Struthio camelus: one gene and its partner. The protein of the gene in region 2 purifies or fractionates together with the protein of the main gene of each other region. This does not show direct contact. Links are inferred from orthologs where the notes say so. Each region holds a gene or a part of one and is shown on either strand. Other genes may lie near its edges.

Region 1 (7,108 bases), on a different chromosome or scaffold from region 2:
TACAGCATAAACATGCTGAATTCTGTGGCACGCTAAAAATCCTGAATTTGTAAATCCATTTTAAACTGCCAATTTTGTTTTTGCTTTTTGTCTTCAGGTGTTCTTAAAAAAATAACTTCATTTCAGGAAGAAAAAAAAAACCGCCATCTTTTCAGATTTTTGCTAACTGTTTGAATGTGTGCTTTGGGACAAGAGTAATTGAATTCTGTAATAGTTGTGATGTAAGTACCTCTGGCTTAAATATATTTTCCATACGTTTTCAGGTTATTGCCCATTTCTGATCTATGGCAAGGATCCCACGTTTCCTGTTCGTGGTTCTTGGGAAGGGCAGCCATGGCTACCAATGAAGAACAGGTATATGACCAAAAAAAAGATGGGGGCGAGGATGTGACTTAAATATGCCTGGGAAACTCACTGGCTTGAGAGCAACTCCAAAAAGCGTGCAATCTACCAATTAAACTTCCCTGGAAGACTGAAGAAATGCAAGTAGGCAAAAAATCATTTTCAGTAAATATGCTTCTGGTACTAGTGAAGTAAGAAGGTAAATTCCTTAAGCAATATGAGGAGTGTGATGAGAAGGGTTCTGTGGCTAAGATGAGTTTCATGTGACTCTCATCTGAAATTCTGAAGTCAGCCATAAAACTAGCATCCACTGTTGTCAGACAAGCTACCAAGGTTGTTCTTTCAACTCTTGTCAGCTAGAACACAGTGACTTACGTGTATATTTTTATGGCATATATATATTACTTGATTTTTTCTGTTTGTTTGTTTCACATTTAAATAGTCTGGCCTAAAATTTGTCCAGCATTTTTAATCAGAGGTTCTTTTATGCACGTTGCTCACTGTGACTGTAGTAACACTCAGCAACTCACTGTGCAGATGAGTTCAAGTAGAACCAAACGTACACAAGACTGCATACTGAAAAAGTTCAATCTCTACTAAACGTAGAGCACCAGGATAATTCTCCCAAAGACATTATTCTGTTTTCACTTCTGTTTGAAATAATAAACAAGAAGAATTACTCATTTAGCACTGACTTTCTTCTAAAAACAAGTTGCAAAAGGTGAGGAGAAACTTGTGCAAGTAATCTTCGTTTGAAATATCTTGTAGGGTTTTATTCAAAACACAAAATAGAATTTTATTTTTGGACAAGGCTTATATTAAAAACTCCATAATTGTGACAGAGAAATGTCCTTCTAAAAGACAGAAATTAAAAACAAAACACTTGCATGCAATTCAATCAATTCATGTTTATGCTGATGTACGTATCTTTGCTTTGTAAGTATCGCTCTCAAACTGAGTTGTAGTACATGGAGCAGTGGGATACTATACTTTGTTCCTAAACTGTTTCTGCTACAGTTTGTGACAAGGTGAGCTTTGAATATGTTTTGATGATTGCTCTCGAAACACAAAAAGCCCAAAAGACTTTTGTTCTCATGCTCCTTAAAACAAGTATGTAACCCTATAAACTGATGATCCATACCTAGATTGTCAAACCATAATTTTTCTTTAAATATCGCTAGCCAGATTACTTTTATAATCAGATGAAGTCTGATGTAAATCATGTATTGCACAGCCAGTCAATAATATTTTATGTTTAGATGTCATACATATGTATTAAACTTACCAGATTCTGCAAGAGCCCTTTTTTACTTTGAGGTTTATTATCATTTTATTATTTGATATTAATATAACTTTATATGGCTAATATATGCTCATTCATTATAGTTTTGGATATATAATTCTAAAAGGAGTAAAAATAAATGAAGGTAAAATGCTATGAAAATGTAAACTTGAAGGTTGTACATAGATTTTTTTTTTAAATATAAATTATACTTGAAGAACACAAATTAAAAAGCATTTATCTTATGCAATAGTGGTTCTTATGGCACACATTAATCTGAGCGGGTGAAGTTATTTCCACAGGGGTTTTGAGCTATTCCTATCAAATGCTAGAGATGCTGATGACTTGATGGAAAAAAAAAATTGGGGTTTTGCTATCCTAATCTTACCATTCTGGATCTGTCAAAAAGCTTGAATTCTTAAAAAGCTAGGTTTGTTTGACACTCCACACAAATAATTACTGCTAGAAAGCTGAAAAGGTAAGATGGACTGTTAGGAAGGTAAGATTTCTTTTCCTGGTACATTTGAAAAAAAGGAAGGCTATTACAGAATACTCTCTGTGCTTAAACTGTTAATGAAACCTCCTTGTTATTAGTTCCTCCTCTATTTTATTACATTGAGATATTTAGGTAAGTGGTTTTTGTAAAGATCTGTGTTGGTGCAGTTGTTACTGTGTTTGTTTTTAAACTGTGCCAACACAGAAACTGCCATGTTGGGTCTAACTAACAATCCACTAATACCCTCTCTCCAATATATGTCAGTGCTTTTTGCCCTATAATTGTAACGGCTCTTTTGATGATAAATTAACTTGGTCAAATTGTTTTTTTGCCTCTGTTCATTTTAGGATATGACTAGTGAACATGCACAAAACTTCCTTTTTCACTCACTTTAGTCTACTGCATCTTCCTTTTCTATGCACCTTTTCTAATCCAGTTCATAAATGCTACTGAAGCAGTCATTATAAGAGAAGAAGAGGCCGCTGCGTTTTAAAAAGGGAAAAAGTCAGGCACTTTGTTATGTTTGGTCTGTTTAAGTGACTGAACAAGATTTGTGTGTTATCTGTGTTCTTGAAATGCTGCAAAAAAGATGGGGAAAAAGCAAGTTCCGTGTGTGACTCTTATTTATCTAGCTCTCCAGAACTTAACAAAACACATCCGTGATAATAAATCTTTATCTTTCATGATAGCCACTTTCGTGGTACCTTTAAACCCTTGCAAGTGTTTGGCTTTCTCTTAATTGTTCTAGTTTTCATATACTTAAGTAGAAAAATATTTGTGAAAAAGAAAAAAAAAATCATAACTTAAACCTCCACAAGCTACCTACTCTTTGGAGAATCATTAATGTTCTGAGCAGAGAGGTTATTTGAGAAGCCATTAAGATTCCAAGTTATTTTAAATGCTTCTCTCATCAGTCTGGCCTGGATTTCCTTGTTTTCTTGTAAACCTAGTTGAAATGGTTTAATTTGCCAGATGTTGCCGGAGATATTTTTATTCCATCTTCCTGAATGTCTTTCTGTTTGTACCACTTAACAAATGAGTTTTCTATCAGTTTCTCCACCATACTCCTATATCCAGGTAACAAACGTTAAAGATCTAAGATTTGGTCCCTATATATTCTTATAGCTTATGCTTAGTGTGTTCCTTCTCCCAGCACGTAGGAAGCAATTCACTTAGGCACAGATGCAAGTTCGTGAGAGCAGGAGTTGTTCTTCATTGTGAATCCCCCAACAGTCTATTTTTGCTTTTCTTTAAGGGCACAGAATGACACAGGTCTGATAAGATGATTAAGAGTCTTAGGCTGGTTAGGCACTTGCATGCGAGGTCTCCAAAGGAAAATAGTACTCTGCAAGTTTTGCTGGCAGTGTTCCCACGACGTGGGAGCTATAATGATTTTCAGCCTGCCTACGCGCTTTTAGGGGTCGACAGATTACTGCTAGATAATTCTGCAAAAGGCAACCTCCCTTCCCAAGTGTGTGTACCCTCGCTACTTATAAGGATGCTCGGTATTTATATCGATACAAGCTTAGCTCTATTAATCGCCGTGAACTAGACGGACGTTCTGGTAGGGGCAGTCAGGTTTCCTAGGCTCCCTGACGGCCTTCCGTGCCGGATGAGGCCGGGGAAGGCCTGGGCAGACAGGGGCCTGCTCTGGAGGCCGGCCCGCACCGCGGGGCAGCAAAGGTGTGAGCTTCCCGCTTATCCCCTCAGCGCCCGTCTCAGCGCGAGGGTCCTTCCTCTAGGGTTACCTGGGGGGGAAAATGAGGGCGGCGTCCCTCAGCGATGGCTCGGCAGCCTTCTCTGCTGCTTTACCTACTGTGAGGCTTAGGGCTGCAAAGTCTTGCTAGTCGCTCTGCCTTCGCAGAAACAACGCTCCGGCCCCCGGCTGCTTCGGGCCGCCGGCGCGGGCACCAACCACCGCCGCCGCCGCCGCCGCCGCCGCCGCCGGGCGGGACTCGGCACCCGCCCCGCCTCGCCGGCTCCCCCTGGCGGGGCGCCGCGCCGCGCCTTCCGGCCGCCGGCGTTTCCGCTGCCGGGTGAGGCGATGGCGGCGGGCGGCAGCGACCCGCGGGCGGCTGACGTGGAGGAGGACGCCTCGCAGCTGGTCTTCCCCAAAGGTGCGCGCCGCGGGGCGGGCGGCCTGTGCGTGCCCGCCCGCCAGGGGGGCCGGAGCCGCGCGGCCGTTGGAGCCGCGCGGCCGTTGGAGCCGCGCGGCCGTTGGAGCCGCGCGGCCGTTGGAGCCGCGCGGCCGTTGGAGCCGCGCGGCCGTTGGAGCCGCGCGGCCCCTCTGAGCGGCTGACTCCCCGTTTCCCAGCAGGGATCCCTGCGACGGGGGCTGGAGCTCGCTGATTAGCCCCAGCTCTGCTCAGCCTCCAGATTTCCCCACTTCTTGTTGCATAGCCCCAAACCAAACGTTAAGAAGCAGGGATAAATAAATATGTATTTACAGAACCTGAGGTAAAATATACATATTTGTGGGAGCTAGCATGGCTAGGATAACGTTTTTCTTATTTACGTGCCTCATTGAACATGTATGCGAGAGTAAAAGATGCTTCTCTGTTTTGGGTTGTAGTTAAAAGGTCCTTGATTTTTGGTGTGACTGTCAGTTTGTCTTTAATGTGTCTTGACGTAAAGAGATTGTTTTACTTTGGAAATCTCCTGTGTAGAGCTTGAATTGTAACTAATGATCTTTTCACAGTCTGTGTAATTTTTTTGAGAAAACTGTTCTGGAGCTGTGTTTGCTCCTCGGACATGTCCTGGAAGAGGAAAAATTGCAGATACGCTGCTTATCTGAGTTAGGAAGAAAAGGGTAGTCCTGGCGGACTTTTATTTTGTGTATTTTCCCACTAAAAGCTACATCCTACCCATGACTGGCCTGTGACATTCCCACCCTGCGCAAAAAAAAAAAAAAAAAAAAAAAGGTGCCAGTTCCTTTCTGGTCGTTTTTACCAAAAAAAAAAAAAAAAAAAGCCTTGAGAAGGCACTCTGCAATGCCATCCCCGATCCTGCTGCTTTGAACAGCTCGTATTGCTGATGGACAGCAACGTAATAAAAGATCTTACTGTTGGAATAAATATACTGATGATTATGATGATGATGAGCCAAACTAAGGAGAGCTGAGCTACTAAAAAGGGGGAAAAAATCTGTTAAGATAGGTTAAAACTTTTTTCTGTTAATACAGAATTTCAGTGGGTCAATTAGGATTTCAAGGAAATGAAACCTTTTTGAAAAATGTTCAGCAGCATCCATGTTTAATTAAGAACTGCATGGAGGCCTTCCGAGACCATAAATGCCACTTCTGATTTTTCTGCATATTCTAAATATTTTTTCCTAAAGCAAGTAATACGTTGCTTAAGTTCTACCAAGAAATGAGTGAAGAGAACACGTTGCAAAACCGTACAAATCCGGTGGTTATGGCTGTGAATGTAAAACATGCGGCCAGAAAGACAAACATCACGCAAAATGCTGTAATTTTTATCTTCATATTCATTATGAAATACAGTCCAATTATTGATGCAAAGGCCTTGCTCAATTACAGTGAAACACATTGTTCGTTTTCTTACTGTCCAAAACTAGATTTGCATACAAAACTTCTATAAATGGACATTTTCATCCATGCTTTTTCTTATTTTCTGCTGGTGTTCACTCATTCACGTGAAGAATTTGAAACTGCGGAAACTCTTCTGAATTCAGAAGTACATATGCTTCTGGAGCATCGGAAGCAACAGAATGAAAGTGCAGAAGATGAGCAGGAGCTCTCAGAAGTGTTCATGAAAACTTTGAATTACACAGCCCGCTTCAGCCGCTTCAAAAACCGTGAAACCATTGCCAGTGTTCGCAGGTGAGTGGAGGAGTTAGGATACAGGATTATACTGGGGACTTTGATACGTTATGTTGGTGCTGCTTTATGAAAGTACAGTTTAGTGGTGTTTTCTGATTTGGACTTCTATATCTTGTTTTTCTGGAGAGGCAAGAAACTCGATCTTTGTAGAGAGTTTTACTTGGTCTAAGGTCAGGCCTTCTGAGTGGCTTTGATATCAGTATTTAAATGACAGCAGATTGGAATAAATGAAAATATTTTCTGGACTACATGGAGAATAATTCTGTGGAATTGGGGTTAATGGCTGTGATATTTTTTCTATGTTCAGTTATGCCCTTTTATCTTTTTTATTTTTAATCTTACCTGTAATTTCACCACCTTGTTGTCTTTACCTACAGTTTGCTGCTCCAGAAAAAGCTCCATAAATTTGAATTAGCATGTTTGGCTAACCTGTGTCCTGAGACAGCTGAAGAAGCCAAAGCTTTGATTCCTAGGTGAGCGTTTAGATAGGCTGAAGAGACCGCCTTATAGTTTGCTGTGGTGTAAGGCTAGCTATGGACAGATACCTTCTCTTCGGTCCATCTGTGTCAATGGAACAACCAACTCGTTGTCCCCATCTGTATTCACCTCCCCGTTGATCTGTTGGAGGGGTAATCTTTTAAGTGTCCCTAATATAGTGAAGATAAATGCCGACTGGACTAAGCGTAAACAATTTTAGTGGAGGTTTTTAGCCTACCCGGATATTTTTTTATTTCCTTGAAGCGAACGACACAGTGCTCCCGTGGACTGTTCTGTGGATAATGTACAAGTCAGACAGCGACTTCTTCCATTCTCCTGTCTTGTTTTTCTAGCTTATAGCCTGAGCTACAGGAAGAAGTGAAACATTAATCTGAATTATTGTTTCCTCCCATGTAAGCTAAGATTTCATAGTCAGCTGGACTGGTTTATGAGTGTAAGGCTACATGGACTTCATTCAGAGATTTGTTTAAACCTTCACCTGCCTTGCCTTTTTGATAAAATGATTTGAAATTGTTCAGCAAAACGTTATGGAAAAGATAGCGTTTGCTAATTTAGAGAGGAGGCACGATATAGGGCTTAGAGCGATATCTGTTCAGTAATGTTACAGAGGGTGCCTCGTGGGCACCATAAAGGTGGGTAATGATGGCGT
Region 2 (7,868 bases):
ACTGCCAGTGCCGCGCTGTTACTCACAAGAGCGTTTCTCGCCTCAAAATTATATAGGCACATACAGGAAGGGACGTTTTCCGCAGAAAAATTCTTGCTTAAAGCGTTTTCAAGGCACCAAAGTACAAGTTTGCCCTGTTTTGTTCAAACAGGAGTTACCCTGTGGCTGGAATGACTGGTTTACTAAATTGCGGCTTAAAATTTGACTCGATGACATTTACGTTTAGGCACCACAGCCAAAACTGTTAATCCCAAGTCTGTGAGTCAAGAAGAAACATAAAAATGTATATTTCTTTTTGCATTCTTGAGCTTAGGTGCCTGTGCTGCAGAGGTAATGCTGTACTTGCAGCCTGATTTCCATATCACTGTTCATGCACCTGCGTTGCTCCTTTGTATCTCTTACTGCTGTAATGATTAAAGTGACAGGAAAGCTGCAGACTACCACAAAGGACTGTCCTCTCTTTCTAATACTACAGTGACCTCTTTTTATCACGTATTTTCCCAGAAGTTCATGGTAGGGATGTACTACATGTAGTATGGATCGTTGTTGCCTAAATTTTCAATTGTCTTTTTTTGCTCACTGACTTTTTTTTTTTCCTTCTATTTTAAACTGAGAGTTGCTTGTGTTTTCCAGCTGAAAATGTGAATTATTGATGTACAAGGCGTTTTTCACATCAAAAGTTTCTTCTCCTGATTTTCAGGTGACAACATCAGAGAGTTCTTGCTGAGTCTCAGATATTTTCGAATCTTCATTGCCTTGTGGAACGTCTTCATGATGTTCTGCATGATTGTGTAAGTAGAGCTGTGCAGCATCTTGTCATTTGTTTATCCAAAGTTATATACTTGGGGGGGGGGGAGTTACTGCAACTACCTTTTTTTCTTATCCCTCTCTCTGTCTCTCTGTCTCTCTCTCTCTCCCTCTCTCCACTTGTTCCTTAGCTACTTTTCATTTTACTTATGTCTACTTTGATCTTCAAAGACTTGACTGACTCCACAATTTTTTTGCTAATGCGTTCAACCTGTAGTACACAAAAATCTCTCTGCTGGTTTGTAAGTCATTTAGTCTTAGTTATAGGGTTTCTCGCTGTGTGTTGCTTAGATGCATCATCATTTGGTTCAGCATTTCAGTGTAACTTTTCCCTCCCTAAAATTAAGAAAACGGTAAAAGTCCTCCCAAGTAGCAGAATGGAATCAGCTTTGCAAATAGTCTCTGGAAACCACAGATGTAAGTCCTGATAGGCAGGCTAGCAAATATCTCCTCTTTTGCACTTATGTAGCTGTATGTTCTGATGTATGGGAGGGCAGAACTGATGCCCAGATGTATGCTAGTGTTTCACCCAGCTGGAATGGCGTTGCTATGACTATTAATGGTTGTACCCAATTCTCATCTACTTTTTTCTGTTGCGTCCACTAGGTTATTTGGATCTTGAAAGTCATCCACAAACATGTCTGTTAACTTGGAAGAGACTTTTGGCTGGAAACATAACTTTTCTGTAAAGTAAAAGACCATAATGCTTTCAAAATACTGCCCTGGGATTGTGGCTTGTTCTTCAGTACAAGCTCTAAAATATTAAAGGGACAGGACACGTTCATCCTCTTCAGTCAGTCGTATAATTACATGGCTTATGCTGGTTTGCTTGCTGCTTGGGGAAGTAAGCCTTTAGGCTCCTGAGCCAAAATGTTCAAAGTAAAATCATTTCAACGTTACTCAAATAGAGAACTTTAAATTGTTTTGGTTGGCTTAGAGTATGGTGCTTAGTATTCAGTGTAGAATTGCAGCATAATGGAAGACCACAGACTTAAAACTGTGCAGTTTTAGTCATTCCCAGCTCTTGACGTGTCTGCCAATGTCATGATTGTCTAGGTTACTTGAAATCTCACTTCTTTATTCTCATTTTTATAAAGTTGAGCAAAGTATTATACTGTTTTAAGTTTGAAAACAGCGTCCATTTTTTCCTCACTGTTACATTTAGTTTGTTTGAGAAATACACAAAGATGATGAAAAACATGTGATTCTCTTTATTTTTTCCAACAAAATGCTTTTTAAATTAAAATTTCAAAGATGGTGTTTTTTTCCTAAACAAAACGTAGGAGGAGTTGAATAGAAAAATTGCAGAAATTGTTCTATATGCCAACCCTAAGGAACAGTTTTGGAATCATTTTGGATTTGGTTGAATATAGAGGTTCTATTCATGGGTAAAAATGTGTTTGATGTCCGTGTTCATTCTACTGCATGAGAAATCAATTCAGTATCAATGTTTCTGAGAAATTTTAACTAGTCTGTGTTGCAACTGTGACTGGCTTTTGATGGTATTTATTTATGTTGTTAGCCTCTTTGACTCATAACTTTCCCCCAGCATCACCAAAATAACTTGACAGAGTGCAGTGCTGGTTATCTTTTAAAACAAAGTGAAAACTATTAGTGGAACTTTCTCAGCCTCAATTTCTTCAGCTATGTAACTGTTGAGAAGAAAGAGAGGCCTCAAGATTTTAAACCGAGGCTTGGTTTTAACCAATACCTTGAATTTTATCTGGATGCAGCCAAGTAGTCAGCACACAGGTGTCATCTGCTCGCAGCAGTTCACTCCAGTGATGCATTTTTGTATTACCTGAAGTGTTCAAAGTGTTCATCCGCTCTTTTGGGGATGCCTCGCAGTCATGAACATAGACGAATATATGGAGAAAAGGATCCTTCAAGAGAGGTTTGTATTGCACAGAAGCATTTACAATCTTCGGCTAAATTATAGGAGATGTCTTGTGTGTAATTTTTGTATTTTATACCTTAACTCTTTTCTAATGTATTTTTAATGAGTAAAAGAGAGTAATGTGCTGTTCTTGTCATGGTATCTGTGAGATGGCATCCAGACAAGTCCACTGCTTTATATAATCCTTGGAAAGCATTTTCTCCCTAACGTTCATTCAGCTGAGTCTTCCTCAGTGAAATGTACATGGCAGAGATTGTAAGAAGTTTTTATCAGTTTTATGCCTAAGCCACTAGAGGGCCCTTATAGTCAGCAGAGAAGCACTCGGGTCTCATTTTCAGACTCTGGGTTTTAATTCTCACTCAGAAAAATGGTTGTTCCTGTGCAGAACTCATATTCCGCTTTCTGAGTGACCCTTTGAATATGGCGAACACAGGGAATGGAGGATGATCAAACTCTACTGGTAAAGGAAAATACACAATTTTAAAGCTCCAAATAGATAATGCAGATTAATACTGAGTGCTGTCACCCCAAAATTTCAGTTCTTCAGAAGAACAGAAGTTCAAAGGTAGTCGTTCTGCTCCCATCCAACTGCTTTAGAAATGACGAGAGTAGTTAATTTGGAACTGCTCTTAAATGCTGTGGAAGGGCTGACTGCTTACCAATTGTCACGTCCGATGTCCATCAGTACAAAATCTTGTACATTTGCTTTTGTACTCAGTCCAATTACGTATGATAAGCTTCTAAAAACCTAACTTGTGCTTTCTTCAGAATCAAGGAGAGGCAGTAGAAGAGACAAGTTAAATATGTCTTTGAACAGAACGGTATTTGTTAAGATTTTGTAGGCTTAGCTCTTTCCACATAGCAATTGTAAGTTTATCTATGTATAGTTTGTATGTAATGTCAGAGTTACCTCACCCGTTGTTTTGAAAATAATGAAAATCTGAAGTTCCTCTACTAGGCAAAAACTTCTCTTAGTCTTTTGTGAGTTTGGAATTGGAAATCATTTCTTTCAGAACACATTTGACTTTTCACAAGCAAGTAGGAGTGTGTATCACCTTCCTGCAAGCATAAACTAAGGCCTCAAAATGTGTGCGTTTGCCTTGTGTCTTTAATAGCTGAGTAATGGCCCTAGGAAGAGATGCTAAGAGACAGCATGGGTGAGGAAAGCAGTAAAAGCATTTTTTTTTAAACGGTACACTGCAGAAGAGGAAGTATTTTTTTGTTTATTTCCATCTTTCAGTTGGACCTAAGCTGTGTACAGATTTACACGGTACTGAACAGTAGCTGCTGAGAGTGGGTTTTCTCTGATACCCAACACTGACTCTTGGGCTACATCTCTTAAGGTTAATTCTTCAAGTACATAGATGCAGGAGAAATGAATATATATCTAAAACGTGTCTTCACATCGGACATCTAGGAACTGCCTCTTGTAGACGATGACTCCCAGAAGTGCTGACAGAGCAGGGACTATTCAAACCTTTGCAAATAAACGCCTTGGCGTCCCGAGGGTGTCCTGTGCTTCGTTCCCCTGCGCTGCGGGGGCGCCGGTTGCCGGGGGGGGGGGGAGCGGGGGCTGCCCCCAACCGCCGCACCGGTTCGAGACGGCGGCCAGACCAGGCCCCGCCACGCGCTTCTTCCCCCCCCCGCCCCGGACGGCTCCCGTCGCCGGGCCGGCCCCCCCCTTCCCCCCGACAGGCACCTCGCGGCCGACTGCGCATGCGCTGCACCGCCACCCCCGCCGCCGCGGCGCATGCGTGCCCGCCGCTGCGTGCGCCGTACGGCGGCAGACGTCAGAGGCGCGCCGTGCGTAACGGCGTCGGGCGTGTCCCATGGTGCCCTGCGCGGGGCTGGCTCCTGCCCACAGTTGAGTTCGGCCCCGAGCGGAACAGTCGGGCCCGGCCCGGTCGCGCCGCCGCGGCCCCCCCGCGCCCCGCCCCGCCCCGCGCGCCGCTCCCCCCCCCTCCCCCGCCTGGCGGGGAGCGATCATGCCACTCCGGCTCCCCGAGGAGGCCGCCGCCGCCGCCGCCGGCGAGTGAGGAGCCGCCGCCCCGGCCCGGCCCGGCCCCGCCGCCCGCCCGCCCCGGCCGCAGCCGCCCCGCTTCGCCCAGGCAATGACAGCGGCTCCGGCGCCCTCCCCGCAGCAGATCAGGGACCGGCTGCTGCAGGCCATCGACCCGCAGAGCAACGTGAGTACGGCCCGCCGCGCCCGCCGCTCGGGTGCCGGCAGCGCGGGGGACGCCGGCCGCGGGCAGCCCCCCTCCCGCCCGGGGGGTCCCGCCGCGGCTCGTGGGCCGCGCGGCCGCCGCCTCCGCCCGCCCGCCGGGACCCCGGCTGCGGCGCGGCTCCTCCCCGGGCACCGGAAGCCTCCGCTGCGGGCGGCAGCGGGGAGCTCCGCCGGCGCCGTGCCCGCCGGGGGTCCCGCGGCGCCTCGCTGCTCCGCGCGGCGGGGCCGGTACCGGAACCGGCGGTCTCTCCGCTGCCGGGGGGCCGCGTCCTTCCGCCGCTCCCCCCCGCCCCGGGCCGGCTGCCGCTGCCCGGCCATGCGGCGTGCGGCCCGGCGGCCTCCCGACGCCAGGCCGCGGCTCGGGCGCGGCCTGCAGGGGGCTCTGGGCCGGCTCCCGCCGCCGCTCGCCGGGACCCTCCGCGGCGCCCACCTGTTCCTCGGGCCCGGGGCCCCCCCCGGCCGGCCGTACCGGGGCGCCTGGAGGCGCCGGACGGTGGTTTGGCGGCTCTGGCGCAGGGCAGGCTCGCTCCTCGCCTTTATCCCTCTCCGCACGGCGCTAATGAGCTTATCCGCTGGCTCTGGGATGTAGCGTGAGCGCAGAAGTCGGCGTTTGCTTCACCTGTAAGTGGGTTTCACCTGTAAGTTGCGGTTATCTGAAGTGTTATTTAATCCATTTAAGGTTTTTGGCATGTTAAAGCAGTTTTCCGCTTAGGCGTTTGTTTCTGGGAGAGGACTGCGGAGTCTGCAATCTGTCAGATTGCTAAATCTTAGCTCAAAAGTCACTACAGCAGGATGCAAAGGTGGGTTTGGCTTGACCATCTGTGGCTTTTTGGGGGGGGGGGGCGGGCACAGCTAAGGGTGCGTCGCACTGAATGGCAGTTCCAGGAGGCTGGGTATATAAAACAAGGTTTTGACTCTATTAAAGTCATACTTCTTTCCTCTTAATAACTATATTCGGTATTAGATGTGTATTGCAATCTTGAAGTAGCTAATAAAGTTCTTGCAGTTTGGAAACGTTCTAGAGCAGCCTGTGTGTGGCATGAAAACTGAAGAAAAATCACCCTGACCTTGTAATTTCTTGAGTAATCTACTATGATGTACATCTGTCGTGAGCAGGAGCATTACATGTTCTAGTAACAGTAACGAATTGTAATGGCAATTGTGGGCTTTTAAATGTCAAAGTTATTCAAGTTTGCAGTACTTTAACTCGGTTCTTAGTGAGATGTCTGTATACTTCATGAATTCTGTTTGCTCTGGGTTCTCTTGGTGGCTGCAGTCTTTTCACTTGACATTAGACTGAGCACCTACCTAGTTTAATAAAACTCTTAAGAGATCTGTGGCTTCTTTTAACTTTAAAGCTGTTGGCAGCCCTGGTTCTCCTACCTCTGGTGTTACTTTCTAAAACACTGTGGCTGTAAGTAACCAGGAGATATATTTTATGATGGATACTTCTCCCTTTCCCCATCCATTAATGCTAAATAATGCTGTATTTTCTGATGCCTCTAAGAGTGCTTCCAGCTTGGTTGTGACGAGGGGGTTCAGAAATAACTAGACAATTCTCTGCAAAGGGAAGTAGAGCATCAGCCAGCAGCTCTGCTGAGCTTCTGACAGGTCAGTAGCCGCATATGCTTGAAGAGTAGTGTATATTAAGTTATAATTCTACATACTTGATACTTATCCAGGGCAATAATTAGTGGTGGAAAAATCGCCCCATTGTTTAGAAATGCCTGTAGGCAGGGGGCTGTCTTCCATTTTAACCTCTTCCTCAAATGAGACTGGCGTAGCTGAGGTTAGTTGGTGCAGACTTAGATGTCAGAGGTTTTTTTTTTCTCTGAAGCCTGTAGAATAGATGGTAAACAATAGATAAAACTACCTGTCTTGCTGTTTTCATGAAGGGAACAAAAAACTTAAATCTTGAACACTTTTAAAAGTAAATTCTGAATTGAATCTGACTCGAGTCCCAATGTGAAAGTATAAGAAACTGCTCTGATAATCTTTTCCTGCAGTAAGAAGTTAATGCAGCTTTGAGCCGCAGTGCTGTTAGCACTGGCAGAAAATTGTAGCTCCTTTCTTCTGGCCTTTTAGACTCTTGTGTTAAAAGAAGTGCTTGCATTCAAACTTAAAAGTATTCATTATTGTGATTGACTTCCTTGTTTACCAAGAAAGACAAGCTGTGAGGCCTGGATTTCATTCAGACTTTTCCAATATAATTGTTGCTGTGTATATGTGCATGTTTCTGGAGGGGAGTAAGGGTGAAAACTGCCCTGATACCCTCACGTGTGCAGAAGGCCAATCCAGTTTTGTGAGGGTGAGGAGAGGGAAGACTATTCTCTGTAGTGCTTTAATTTGGGATGATTTGAATTTAAGCTTCACTGATATGTTCTCTAATACAAGCTGTTTCTCTTCTGTGGATATCCCAATGTAACTGTAAAGGTCTTTGAAGTGCATACAGAGCTGGAGTAACTCTGATGTCCTGCTTTAACAAAATAAAAAATAAATTGCCCTATCTGTGTTGAGTTTAGTTGTTCAGAGTAATCTTTTCCCCAGGTTCTTGGTACCTGCTTGCTATCAGAAGTCATCTTCTGCACCAATTGTTCATCTTTGTTTTAACCACTGCGTTAAGCCCTGTTTTAATTGTACAGATGCATTTAGCGCTTGAGATCTCTTCTAGTAATTGATGCAGAACATACTTATAACTTAGTTTCACACACTTAGTTTAGAGTTTACATGTATGACCTTTATTTCAAAGGACACCTATAAGAAATAAACTGCTTAAATACTGTCTCGTTTGGGAAGCCACTCAAGGTATCTGGTATTATATATTCCCTTATTCAGCCTTTTCCCTTTGGGGGGAAAAAATGAGGGCAAACTGCTACAACTATACTACTTAAACAGTAAGTATCAACATCAATTTCCTTCCAAAGCTTGTAGGTTAGCAAC

Evidence for each region. Proteins that work in one complex are often made in the same cells at the same time.
Region 1: the proteins of MED26 (region 2) and POLR2D purify together in Homo sapiens (affinity purification with mass spectrometry; 3 studies listed by BioGRID and IntAct, with this or other methods). This does not show direct contact. The link is inferred for Struthio camelus from reciprocal best matches to the Homo sapiens genes MED26 and POLR2D.

Annotation. Positions count from the first base shown.
Region 1 is NC_090950.1:6,489,246-6,496,353, reverse strand, and holds the start of POLR2D (DNA-directed RNA polymerase II subunit RPB4), read left to right. Parts: upstream 1-4,103; 5' UTR 4,104-4,164; coding exon 4,165-4,237; intron 4,238-5,780; coding exon 5,781-5,961; intron 5,962-6,338; coding exon 6,339-6,434; intron 6,435-7,108. UniProt on the Homo sapiens protein: Core component of RNA polymerase II (Pol II), a DNA-dependent RNA polymerase which synthesizes mRNA precursors and many functional non-coding RNAs using the four ribonucleoside triphosphates as substrates.
Region 2 is NC_090967.1:5,333,495-5,341,362, reverse strand, and holds the start of MED26 (mediator of RNA polymerase II transcription subunit 26), read left to right. Parts: upstream 1-4,770; 5' UTR 4,771-4,815; coding exon 4,816-4,890; intron 4,891-5,419; exon of another isoform or gene 5,420-5,566; intron 5,567-7,868. Other genes in the region: SMIM7 (small integral membrane protein 7), read left to right, coding at 701-791, 1,414-1,429. UniProt on the Homo sapiens protein: Component of the Mediator complex, a coactivator involved in the regulated transcription of nearly all RNA polymerase II-dependent genes.